Schizosaccharomyces pombe: one gene and its partner. The main gene of each other region encodes a partner of the protein of the gene in region 2 in a complex. Each region holds a gene or a part of one and is shown on either strand. Other genes may lie near its edges.

Evidence for each region.
Region 1: psf2 (region 2) and sld5 share a complex: the UniProt entries of both Schizosaccharomyces pombe proteins name them as parts of the GINS complex.

The regions. Positions count from the first base shown.
Region 1 is NC_003423.3:2,911,079-2,916,295, forward strand, and holds sld5 (GINS complex subunit Sld5), read right to left. Parts: upstream 3,218-5,217; 5' UTR 3,143-3,217; coding exon 2,498-3,142; 3' UTR 2,394-2,497; downstream 1-2,393. Other genes in the region: SPOM_SPBP4H10.19C (calreticulin/calnexin-like protein), read right to left, coding at 1-234, 313-387; nhm1 (m7G(5')pppN diphosphatase), read left to right, coding at 1,150-1,461, 1,504-1,709, 1,851-2,038, 2,085-2,293; pop4 (Rnase P/MRP subunit), read right to left, coding at 3,792-3,940, 4,013-4,517; RSC complex subunit Rsc9, read left to right, coding at 5,194-5,217. UniProt on the Schizosaccharomyces pombe protein: The GINS complex plays an essential role in the initiation of DNA replication. Has a role in chromosome segregation and is required for bir1 localization.
Region 2 is NC_003423.3:1,225,694-1,232,736, forward strand, and holds psf2 (GINS complex subunit Psf2), read right to left. Parts: upstream 3,495-7,043; 5' UTR 3,335-3,494; coding exon 2,783-3,334; 3' UTR 2,615-2,782; coding exon of another isoform or gene 2,473-2,614; 3' UTR 2,455-2,472; downstream 1-2,454. Other genes in the region: tsp0 (tspO-like protein), read left to right, coding at 276-302; CCAAT-binding factor complex subunit Php2, read right to left, coding at 217-1,221; nbl1 (borealin N terminal domain-containing protein), read left to right, coding at 2,069-2,183, 2,233-2,401, 2,473-2,614; acetylglutamate synthase Arg6, read left to right, coding at 3,598-5,100; orotate phosphoribosyltransferase Ura5, read left to right, coding at 5,386-6,033. UniProt on the Schizosaccharomyces pombe protein: The GINS complex plays an essential role in the initiation of DNA replication. Has a role in chromosome segregation and is required for bir1 localization.

The DNA of each region.
Region 1 (5,217 bases), 1.7 Mb from region 2:
TGGTACTGATGACGATTGTCGAGTAGTAGGATTTTCTAGGTTACTTATAAGAATATGAGGTTTATTACTTTTCAAAGTAATTAAACCATATTCATCTCTTAAGTGGGAGCCTGGTGCTTCAACCAAGTCCCAAACCCCCAAATCTTTGTTCACTGGAGCACGCCATCGAGAGCGCCAGGTTGTGATGTCTTCAGAAGTAAATTGTTCAGAGAATACGGAAGGAATTGTACAAGGCTAATACATAAGTTAGTAACCAAATAATGCAAAAATCCCAGTTATCAACAATTATTTGATGGCAACAAAACCACCTACTTTGTATGTCTTCACATTGAGATCGTGGGCAAAAATCAAGTTTATAAAAAAAAAGTAGAAAAGAAGGGTTTGCATATTCGTAACTTTTAACCTTAACCCTCCTTCCCCAAAAGGCGAATTTAACAGGAAAAGATGATTCTTAAAAAAAGGAAAAAAAACCTTTAAACTTTACTAAAAAAAATATAACACCTGTAAATAATAAACGTAAACGAGAAAATAAACAATTAGGTATAGACAAATGCTAATTGTGAATAAGGGTTCGGTTTCAATTCGGGTTGGTCAATGTCTAAAAGGTTGTACGAGTTGTGTCTTACTAGAATAAATAGCAACCGCGTACGAAAAGATGTTTATATAGCTTTATAAGTATTGAAAATAACTACTTTATAGATTTAATGTTTGTGTTATATATTAATTATTTCACAATTTTAAATTCTCAATATACATTTTGAAGTAACTCTAGGCATGTGATATTACCGGTTTGTTTTGTAATTTTTTAGGTCACTACGATATTAAGATTCTATGTAGCGGTGTCTGACAGAAAAAAAAATTTTGATTTTAAGACTTAGAGTAAATTATTTGATAGTTATAATTTGTATTTGTTTTAGGTACTATATAAGAAGGCGTGTTTCCCTTTAACCTTACGAATACTATTTAGTTTTTTGTTGTAAGTGAAATATTATGTAGTAGAATCAACCTATTAAAGCCTTGCAACAAGCTCTTTAGTCTCAGCATCTCAAAAGCTGTTGTACCTCTCAATCTTTTTGGATTTTTTTACTTCTATCGGTAAGACATAACGGACGTTTAAATATTTTATACCCAAGAAGAGACAAATTTAAAATGGAAGAAAGTTCTGCCGCGAAAATACAACTGCTTAAAGAATTTAAATTCGAAAAAATTTTAAAAGATGATACCAAAAGCAAAATAATAACCTTGTACGGAAAAATCAGAAACGAAGTAGCATTACTTTTGCTCGAAAAAACAGCTTTCGATTTGAACACGATAAAGCTTGACCAACTGGCAACATTTCTACAAGATACTAAACTCGTAGAAAACAATGATGTTTTTCATTGGTTTCTAAGCACTAATTTTCAAGATTGTTCTACATTGCCCTCTGTGAAGTCCACACTAATTTGGCCGGCTTCTGAGACTGTAAGAAAATACCAATTTTTCCTCTCTATTAACCGTATGTAGCATGTACGAAAATATTCTTCTCAAAAAAAGAGAATGGTGTGTGAAACGCCGGAAATGTATCTAAAAGTCACTAAGCCGTTTATTGAAACTCAAAGAGGTCCTCAAATTCAATGGGTTGAAAACATCCTTACTCATAAAGCTGAGGCCGAGCGTATTGTCGTTGAGGATCCGGATCCCCTGAATGGATTTATTGTCATTCCTGATCTGTAAGAATAACTCAAAATGGTTTATTAGTTGCATCCTTTAAATGCATGCCAATTGTATCTATCAGCAATAGTCATCCCTGGTACTTGGGTGCATGTTTTACCATATATAAGTTCTTTTGTAAGTTTACTAACAAAAATTAGAAAGTGGGATCGCCAAACTATGTCTGCTCTGAATTTAATGGCTATTGTTCACGCAACGGATATTGCAAGTATTCGTGATTTGAAATATAAGCATATTCCTCTTTTAGAAAACATTCGAAATAAAGTCTTGACAGAAGTCCCAAAACAATTTTCCGTAGATAAAAATCAGTTAAAGATGTTTGTCCATTGTATGTTATAATTTAAAAGCAAAATAGTTTACTGACATTCCTCTAGATTTACCTTCCTACTACCACTTACATGTACATATATTGCATGTTGACCATGAAACTGGAGACGGCTCTGCTGTAGGACGAGCAATTCTTTTAGACGATGTTATTGATCGCCTTCGCAATTCCCCGGATGGTTTAGAAAATGTAAATATTACATTCAACATTGGCGAACAACATTTTCTATTCCAACCGTTAACTAATATGAATGCCTGATTGAAAATATGGTTGCCAAACTGTTGAAACTGATCACATCAGTTAGATAAATCATTTATACCTTTTTGAAGCTTATAAAATAGAGATAATGATATTGTATTGTTGATCAAATTATACATTTACATGCGAAAATTCAACTTTAAATAACAATCCAGTACAACCTACAGCCTGTGAAATATTGTAGTAATTAATTAATAGCCGGGATTATATTAGTGAGACAACACCAAGTCGAAGGTAATCAGAAATAACAGAGTACCGAAGAATCAAAACATCTCCCTTGTCGAGAGTTATATACTCATTTTCTGAAACTCGAAAGTTTTCTTCGACTGACTCGTTGACCACACAAAACACGGCAGTATCCATATCAGGTGATGCTACCATTGATAAATTTCCGACCTTATCATCAAGTTTATTCATTTTTGCAGGAACTTCTCGTAAAAATGAATCCATGTAATGACGATGTACTATTTGCTGGTGCCTTAAAAGATATTGACGTTCTGGAGATGACAAATACAACAATAAATTAGGATGTGATTGAATGTATTGAGCATATTTGTCAATTTTATTGATTCGAGTTCGCATATACGAGCGTAAAACAAACTTCACTCGCTCAAGTTCGGTTTGCATTAGTACGCTCCTATAACTAGTTGCACTACTTGTTCCAATGGCCAATTGTAGAGTTTCTCGTTGTGCTTCAATTCTATCAAGAACTCTGCTTACAATTTCTTCAGCAAAAGGCAACAAATCCGGAGCCATTCGCTCATTCACCCATTGAGTACATAAATCCTCATAATCATTCTCCACTTCTGTTGTCGGTTCTATTAGCAAATCATCAGCATCCCACTCCATCCATAAAAAATATACAAGGATGCTCAAATCACGAAGGCAAATGAGACCTTGTTGTAAAGCTACAAGCTTTTACTCAAGATATGTTAGTAGTTTACATAGCACTTAAATCAGTCCAATTGCAGAGGTAACAAGTTACTTACGTCCCTTTTCAAACAAAAATCCCAAAAGCATATCTTGCTCTTAAACGACTTTGACATAATCTTCGTTTTATCCTATGCATTCCATTCACTTGTCTTAGTTATCGTACACTTCAGTAACATCTTATATTATTGCCCGTGAATCAAAAAATCGAAGGCTATAATCTTATAGCGAAGAATTGCATAAAGGCGCGATTTATCACTTATACTTTAGAAATTCAGTAAACGAAAATTAGTATTAAAATGTTGGATCAATAAATACAATGGAAAAAGATCTGTGCTCTGAAAGTATTTTAGAGACTGGCGTCGTTTAAGCTCTACAATATACAGCAAACATACAATATTGCCAAGTATGAACAAGTTATTGTCTACACTGCGTGCTCTGTAAGCAATATTAAGTATTTGTACGAAATTGCCAATATATATACACTAATAAAAAGAAACCACTCTAGTATTCCATTTCAATCAATCGCAAGTACGATTCTCTAAGAGAATCACGTAATTAACAACTTTCAGAGATCTATTGTATTTTTCGATTTAAAACGCTTATTCGATCTATCACCTGCTCTCAATAGTAAATGTTGAGTATACAATTCAAAAACAAGTTTCCTTTGGGGAACATCAACGATAACTTTCATAACAGAATCTTGTTTGGGAACACCTAGACGAATTAGTAAAAAGTTACTCAGCAAAGATATTTTTCAAAATACAATGTTTTGAAAATGGTACTTACGAACAACCCTGTTTTCTTTAGTAATTAAAGAGAGCATATGTTTACTTTCGTGGATACAAATACCTTCAAGTCCGACTCGCGTAGTACTTTTACTCCGAAGAACTTGCATATATGCACCTTGATATTCTGCTTTTGCTAATTTGGCCATTAAAGATTCACCTGTGCATCCTGCTATCACTTCTAATATGTAAGAGCACCACATGGAATGTAAATGTTTGAATTGGCTATAGTCAGCAATCTTTGGAACAACATTTAATTGCAGCTTTTTTTTCTCCTTTGAAGACAACTTTTTCCTTTTCTTTGAAGCAACCGACTCTTTTCGATCTCCTTGTTTTTCTAAGTTTAGAGAAGGGACAAGTAAAAGCGGTTTGAAAGCAATTTTTTCGTTTATAACATTTTTTGCCTCTTCAGGTGTTAGGATTTTTGTTTGAAATACCAGGGATTCGGGTGTCACTTTAGAAGTTGAATTGACAGTTTTCAACGAAGAGTATAGTGGATCAGCCATTCAGTACAAATGGATTGTCTTTTGAACGTAAAGGTAATAATAATTAAAGGAATAGCAAGTTATATCTGTTGTATTATTTTACGAAAATTGCTCCATTTGGCAAGTCTAGATATTTGGTGGTAAAGGTAATATGTGAGACTTTTTTTATACTTTTGTACAGCAAGATACTACTTCCAAAGTAATAATACAATTTGGCCCCCGTTTGAGAACTTTTACCCCACTAGAGACTAAAGATATATACCATCAAGGTCATATACACTTTGCAAAATTACAAAACATCGTTAGACTGCGATAAGCATTTTCTGTACTCAGTACATTCTCTTAAGTAGATGATATGAATAAACAAGTGTAGATTAGTCACAAAAACAAGTTTATTTAATAGACAGTTGAAAGATAAAACGGAAATAATGGATATGAAATTTTATTTAAAAATCAAAATTCAAAGAAAGCTTGTTGTATCGGTAGAACCAGTTACTCATACAAAGAAGAACATGGGGACATGTAATACATTTAATACAGCATAGTATAGTGAAATGTAGTGTTCGTTGTTGTAAATTGCCTACCCCATGTATTCATTTCAACTGCCCAAGGTCTCCCCCACTTAGTATTTCGAAAAGTTGTGAAAGGTTTCGTTATACTACTTTTGACCACCTACTTACTTTACGACGCGCGCTTCATGTCACAAGTCATTCAGGGAGCA
Region 2 (7,043 bases):
AAGTCAAAACAAATTGATGGATAATAAATCGGTGACTAAAAAAATAATGAGTATAATATGATATGCAAAAAGGCCATGACTGAGTGATTTCGACTTGTTTCTTTCTCAAAAAATCACCAACAACATTGCAGTCCTAAATTGAACTTTGTCGGTAGGTCGACAACCTATACACAGTCTTGTGATTGTTTTGTATCTCTCTCAGCCTTAATTAGTTGACTACTTCATGGTTCCTGAAGAACCGTGTGAGGGATATGTTTGCTGACCAATTATCATAGAATCTTGGGTATTGCCTGTTAAATTAAGAGGATCGATATCGCTCGCTGGTAGTACAGGGAGACCTGTGGCTGTAGGATCATTGACATCAAGGTGATCAATCGAATCCATTGGATTGTGTGGTATAAAAGCTGCACCTGCAGACACGCTATCATCGTGATACACATCCAGACCAGGAAAAGCACTATGCTCATTTCCAGCTAGTGTAGATGAATAATCATTAGTACCTTTATGAAATGACCCTGGATGAGCAGCTGACGAAGTAGTAGTAGTAGTAGAGTTGTTGCCATTGGTAGAAGCTGTAGCAAAACTGCCTAGTTGAGAACCACTGGACATAAGATTCGATGTGTTTGAGTCGGTCTGTGGGAGCACTGTCATATCATGAGGCACTGGCCCCGAGGTGGAAGCGGTATTAGTGGGCCCACCCGACATGGCAATATTACCACTCATGTCTAGCTCGCCTCTGACATTTGGAGAAGTAATGTTGTTTCCAGAAGTATTGTTAGCAGGAGACATAGATGCTGTGGCAGAATTGATAGGAGCTGGAGACTCAGACGAGTTGGAGATAGAGCTAGGTCTTGAATCATTGCTATCCGCATATCCTTCAGACGTGTGAGTCACTTCAGAAGAAACGGTTGCAGGCACGGTGGCATCATTGGCATTTGTGGCATTAACATCGTCTCCTGTACTTCCTCCATTAGCAGCTGCCTCTGCAGCTTCCTGCGCTCTCAATTTTGATACTTTGTCAGCAGTCAAGAATCGGCCACCAGGACCACGAGGTCGTCGCATAGCATGCTTATGCCTTGATTCATGTAAATATGGTTTTTTCGTAGTCTGCACACCACGCAATCTCTCTTCTAACTTTGCGCGAGCTTCTCTACGTTTCAAAATTCGATGGTATTGCTTTGCATTCACGTAAAGCCCCTCGACCGGCTCATATGGATTCATTGGAAAATGACTATTCTTATTTCAATTGCTCTAACTATTGGGAGGATCTCAGGAATCAAAATTCTGCTCGTTACGGTATATTCGTCTCGTTGGTCGGTTGGTTGGTTTAGGTGGTTTGTAACTCCGCAGGCGCTAGCGACTACCAATGGTAAGCAGCTATTCTTTACATATCGGTAAATGTGTATAACGATTATTGTCGATCTTTCCAGGATTGCAAATAGTGAGGACGGCTTGCAGTGCATTTTGTCACAAACGAATATATAATCTTATGTACACATATGATAATGTCACTAACTGAATGGCATAACTATTTTCTTATGAATTGGGTTAAAAAAAAGCTAACAGTCGAAATATAATACAACAGAGGTTGCATTGTAGCGTATGGCACTGGAACACGTTATACCAAATATCTTTTTTAAACAGTTTTCAATGTTGTATGCGATGTAGTTGAAGAGGGAGACTTTTACCTCGTACAATATTTTTTTATTTGATATTATTAATAATTTACTTAGAAGTAAGCATCATCAATTCTTATGTACCTTTTAAAGTGATGTGTTTCAACGCTTTTATTTTGTAAACTTGCTGCTTTTTTCTAATTCTAGGTCATTATTCTTCTTTCAATTTATAAAATATCTTTTGGGTACGCTTTTTTGTGCAATCCTCTCCTTTCTAACGTTTGTTTACATATTGAGTATTAGGTAACGATGTTACTTACATATTAGTTGAAGATTTATTGTTTATACAACAACTCTTATTCCCACCACCTTTTCAGCGCACCCAGAAGTACCGTCTTTTGATCAGCTGTTAGCAAACATCTGTTTTGTTTTTTGATAATTTATAATGCTTAATGATGAACAAGCGTAAAAGAGTGGAAGAGCTTGGAGAGACGAAACATCGTCAAGTACGACAGCGAATTCTCCAAGAACACAAGAACGATATACTTGAAAATTTAGCATTTGAACGTAAGTTTTTGTACCTGGAAGTAGTAAAGTGTTAACGGGTATTTTTCAGTTTCCGATAAAGTACGACGTTTGCGCTCAAACGCTAGTTTACTTGCTTCAACAATTCGTATGCGAGGAGAAATGCGTATCGCCGCTATTCCTCGCGCTCAACGAAATATGCATCTGCGCGATCTAAAGAACCATCTTTCCTGCAATGTGTCTGCCACACCGTGGAGAACGTAAGTGTAATATCAAATTTTACTTTGCCATACGTACTACTGGAAACACTAATTGCTAATTACTATTTCAGAAAAATAAAAGAATTTTATAATCTAGACGAGCTTTCCTCCCAAAAGTCCGCTAGACAACCTACAAAAACGGTGGCATCCTCCTCTTCTTCTTCATCAAAAAGCACCACCGTTTCCAAATCGAGTTCAAAGTCGCAAGTGTGAAACCCTCATCTACTGCTTACTGTGATAAAATTTCACTACTACAAAGTTGGTATTCATAAACACTTCGTAGGATTCATTATCATTATTTTTAAAGTACATCATCCACACGATACCGAAATATTCTCATGTGAAGTCCATTTATTTCCCACTTTACTTTTGATGAGTAACTCATTCTTCTTGGGAAACTTGAACAATTTTGCGCATTCTGTCCATCACCTCTCGAAATATAGGACGTATTTCGTTAATTTCCATTGCACCCAAATTATCCAAAGTTAGTTGAACTTCATTAATGGCTTCCAATCCCGTTCTTGCTTTACTTTGTCTAGCTTCTCGAATGTCCAGCAAAATCCTCCTGATATCCTCAACATCCTCGATATCATCAGCACAGAAGTTTAACAATAAATGCGCCGTTTCTAGCCACCGAAAAGGCAACTCTGAGAATGTCTCGTTTTCCAATTCATCATCTCGTATGTTTTCAAGTTTGCCTATTTCCATCCATTCCGGAGGTACAATCCTTGCCAAATTTTGCTTTTTTAGCTCAAGAGCCAACCATAAAGGAACCCGACATTTTTTGGGAGGCTTCATAATGGGAATCGTCGCGCTAACTAGCGGCAATTGATCCATTGTTTCTGAAGGAACAATGTTAATATACTCATTGCCAGCTAAAAATTCCATTTCCTCTGGTGAGAATGAAATTTCAAGTTCCCTTGGTAAGGCCATCTCTATCACCAACGAACAGTACAAAAATGCCTATCAATAGTACCGTTTTTGGGCTTAATGTCTTTTTTTATTTAAAGTTTTGTTTTTCTATTTTGGAGTTCGTTTATAGCATTTATTGGTTGTTATTCCTTACAGCATAATTTTTTGTGTGGTGGGTTTCGGACTCATAATAGTCACCCTCATCTAAATCACATCTTGCTCTTAGGTCATCGGTATATGATTGTCAAATTTTTATATTTCTCGTTTTAAGGTAATAATTTTGAATGCAAAAACCTTCATTGTCACAAGACCTTATTTGGATATTGAAATCAGTCCAATCTCGTAGGTCTACGAAAGGGTTTTTGCAAAAACATTCTTCGCTTAAGGATGGCTCTCCCAACAAGAAATCCTTCGCTCAGCCAATATCGAGTTCGTTTTTAAACAGAATTTCTATTACCAAAATTGATGATGTGGATTCTTTAAGTGATAATACCCTATATGGAATTGGTCGAAGTATAAATAGCCTGGCACGTTTAGGGATTCAATCAGTGATTGTTCCCACTTCCAATCCAATTGGCATGACATCTCCTTTTAAATATTTGGAGAATGGTACGGTCGTAGCGAAAAAACGTAAACTTTCAATCTTTGAGGAGCTACAGCAACAGCAAAATAGAGTCATTCGAGTTTCGGAAATTTTTTCGAAAGCGGGAGTGTTAACCCGTCCTAGCTACTCCTCTGTATGTCAATTGGGCCCTGAAGGCCCTAGTGTTGAGAATGTGCAAGGTATTTTTCAAGCGCTGTCTTCACTTTACACGGTCATAGTGCCAAGCTCGATTTTAATGCCCAACGTCATTGAGGTTCCAATTGATGGTAATGAGGTTCTTGCTGGTTTAACTTACTCGTTACACAAGCCAAACTTTGGGTTTTGGGTAGACCGAATCGTCATTCTTGATAAAAATGGTGGCATGCCATGTTCTAAACGACAAACTGGTTCTAGTCATGTTCTCATCAATCTGGCTCAAGAGTTTGACGAGTTAGCGAAAACACTTCCACCTTATCATAGAAAAAATTTGATTTTGGTAAGACGCTGTTTGAAAATGTTACCGGATGATGCCTCTGCTCTAATCACTACGCCTGAGGATGCTATGCTTACAAATCCTGTCTTAGACAAAAATCCGTTAATTCACAATGTTTTGACGGATCGCTCTATTATTTCATGTTCCTTGCCGCGCGATCGATCTCCTATTACGAAAACAACTGTTTTGCGTAGCGGTGTACCGGTATATACATTCCTAGGTCCGAAATGTCTAACTGATGGCTCCGTTTCGTGGGAAAGGCTTTGGGTTTTAATTAATGACTCCTTTAAGCGAACGCTTGATATGGACGCATATTTAGATAGGTTGAAGAATTCGCTAGCTGCAGTCATTATTGCAGGGGACTATTTAGGGACAGCCATTGTAACTTATGAACAACCAGATGGAACAACGAATGAAAAGGTCCCTTATCTTGATAAGCTTGCCGTCTCACAAGGAGCCCAGGGTTCAGCAGCAATATCTGATGTTATGTTTAATGTTATGACTGATTTATTTCCCAAAGAGTTGATATGGCGCTCTCGCCTGACTAATCCAGTCAATAAATGGTACTTTGAAAGAAGTGTAGGCTCCTTAAAGTCAAGCAAAACACCTTGGAAACTTTTCTGGACTGGAGACTCACATGTCAGAAATTTGGATCGAGTGAACCAGTATATGAGCGTTATTGATAAAATTCAGCCAACATGGTTGAATTGAGTGGAAGTTAACGATTGCACTTTATCAGAGACAAGATTATTTCGCTTCTTCAAAAGCACTTGTCAAACTTTTTAATAAAAGGAAAAAAGTCCATTTTGATAGGACATTAATTCTCTTTTGCACATTAGATTATAGATTGAGTAGTTTGCCTACAAACTTGCATTTTTCTTTAGTTATGATTTTTGTTTATTCCCCCACATAACCCCCATGTAGAGCTTAGAAAAGGTGATACTAGCTTTTTTCTTTTGTGAGTATCAACGTTTATCAACAAAACTAGTAGTAAACATGTCTTATAAACTTGAGTTGTTGCGTCGTGCCTTAGAACATAATGTTTTGAAGTTTGGAACTTTCACCTTAAAATCAGGCAGAAAATCTCCATACTTCTTCAATTCTGGTAATTTCACTCATGGTGCCGATTTATGCGCTCTTGCAGAAGCCTATGCCGAGACTATTATCGCTATGAACGTTGATTTTGATGTCATATTTGGTCCTGCTTATAAGGGTATCTCTTTGGCTGCTATAACGGCCGTCAAACTTTATGAAAAAACTGGAAAGAGCTATGGATTTGCCTATAACCGCAAAGAGGCCAAGTCCCATGGTGAAGGAGGTAACCTTGTAGGCGCCGAAATGGAAGGTAAAAAGGTTTTACTTTTGGATGATGTTATTACCGCTGGAACTGCCATTCGTGAAGCAATTTCCTTCTTAGAACCTAAGCACGTAAAATTGGCTGGTATCGTCCTTTTGCTTGACCGCCAAGAGCGACTGGACCCCGAAGTAAACGAAAGTACCATTGGTAGATTGAAGAAGGAGCTTAACTTACCCGTTTCCTCCATCCTTACTTTGGACGACATTGTTGACTTTACCAAATCAGACTTAACTGCAGCTGAATCAAAGGCAATGGATGCTTACAGACAGCAGTACCAAGCCAAATGAGCTTATGGTAATGTTTCTTTTAAAAATTTGGAAGGAGGAAAGAGAATAATTGGATAAGTATCTTTTTTGGTTTTTAGCTTTGCTTTTTTAAAGAGAGTGAAGTTAGTTGGTATTTACATATGTTATAGAATTTTTTTATCTGTATATTTGTGGTGATAGATACAACTCATATTAGAAGGAATTTTCTATAAAGCGATTGCATTTAGCGGTATTCAAAAATTTCTCTATAATAGACGAAGGAAATTGGTTTACTTGTTAAGCTTTTGTTTTGCACATATCCATCTATCTTTTGATTAGTTCCGTGAATCTGTTTTTTTTGTGTTTGTTTCTTCTTTTGTGTTATTCGAATCTTTCCAAGATGACAGTTAGGAATGAAGCTACCAAAATATTGAGTTGAGGGATAATTAATGTTTCACAAAATGGTATTTGTGTATTATTTTTGTAAAAATTTGTAGGATTTGGTTTTTAGTGATGATTATTTACGTTCGAAAGACGCATATAATGGGCAATTATAAAAAATTTAGGATTTTATTTTTCAATTCTGCGACGGGTATTTATGCTCTGTGTTTGAAATACCAAATATTAAATAATGGTAAAACCTTTAAACAGAAGCCTGGTGATTAACTTTTTATTATGACAAGAAAATGTTAAGAAATTTTGGAATGTTTTTATTCTCATATTCAATGTGAATTTGAATAAGTAGTCACTGCAGTCTATAAATAAAAATGGTTTATTAGAAAAACTCGAGTTGAACAATGAAATTCTTTATCATTTATGTAATACAATTGGTTTAACATAGTGGAATCGAATGGTACAATAATTGAGTTACTAATATGTAACCTTCAAGTATTTATCGTTTACCACTAACTCACCATAAGAGAGGGTGAAAGATTTAGTTCTGTTTGTGTGAGATCTTAAAAAAGCAAGCAAATTTCCTTTTTATCAAAAAAAGGATCCGCATTTCCTGAAGCACTTTACTGTGATTTTAGGGATTTTTTTGGTGAGTAAGA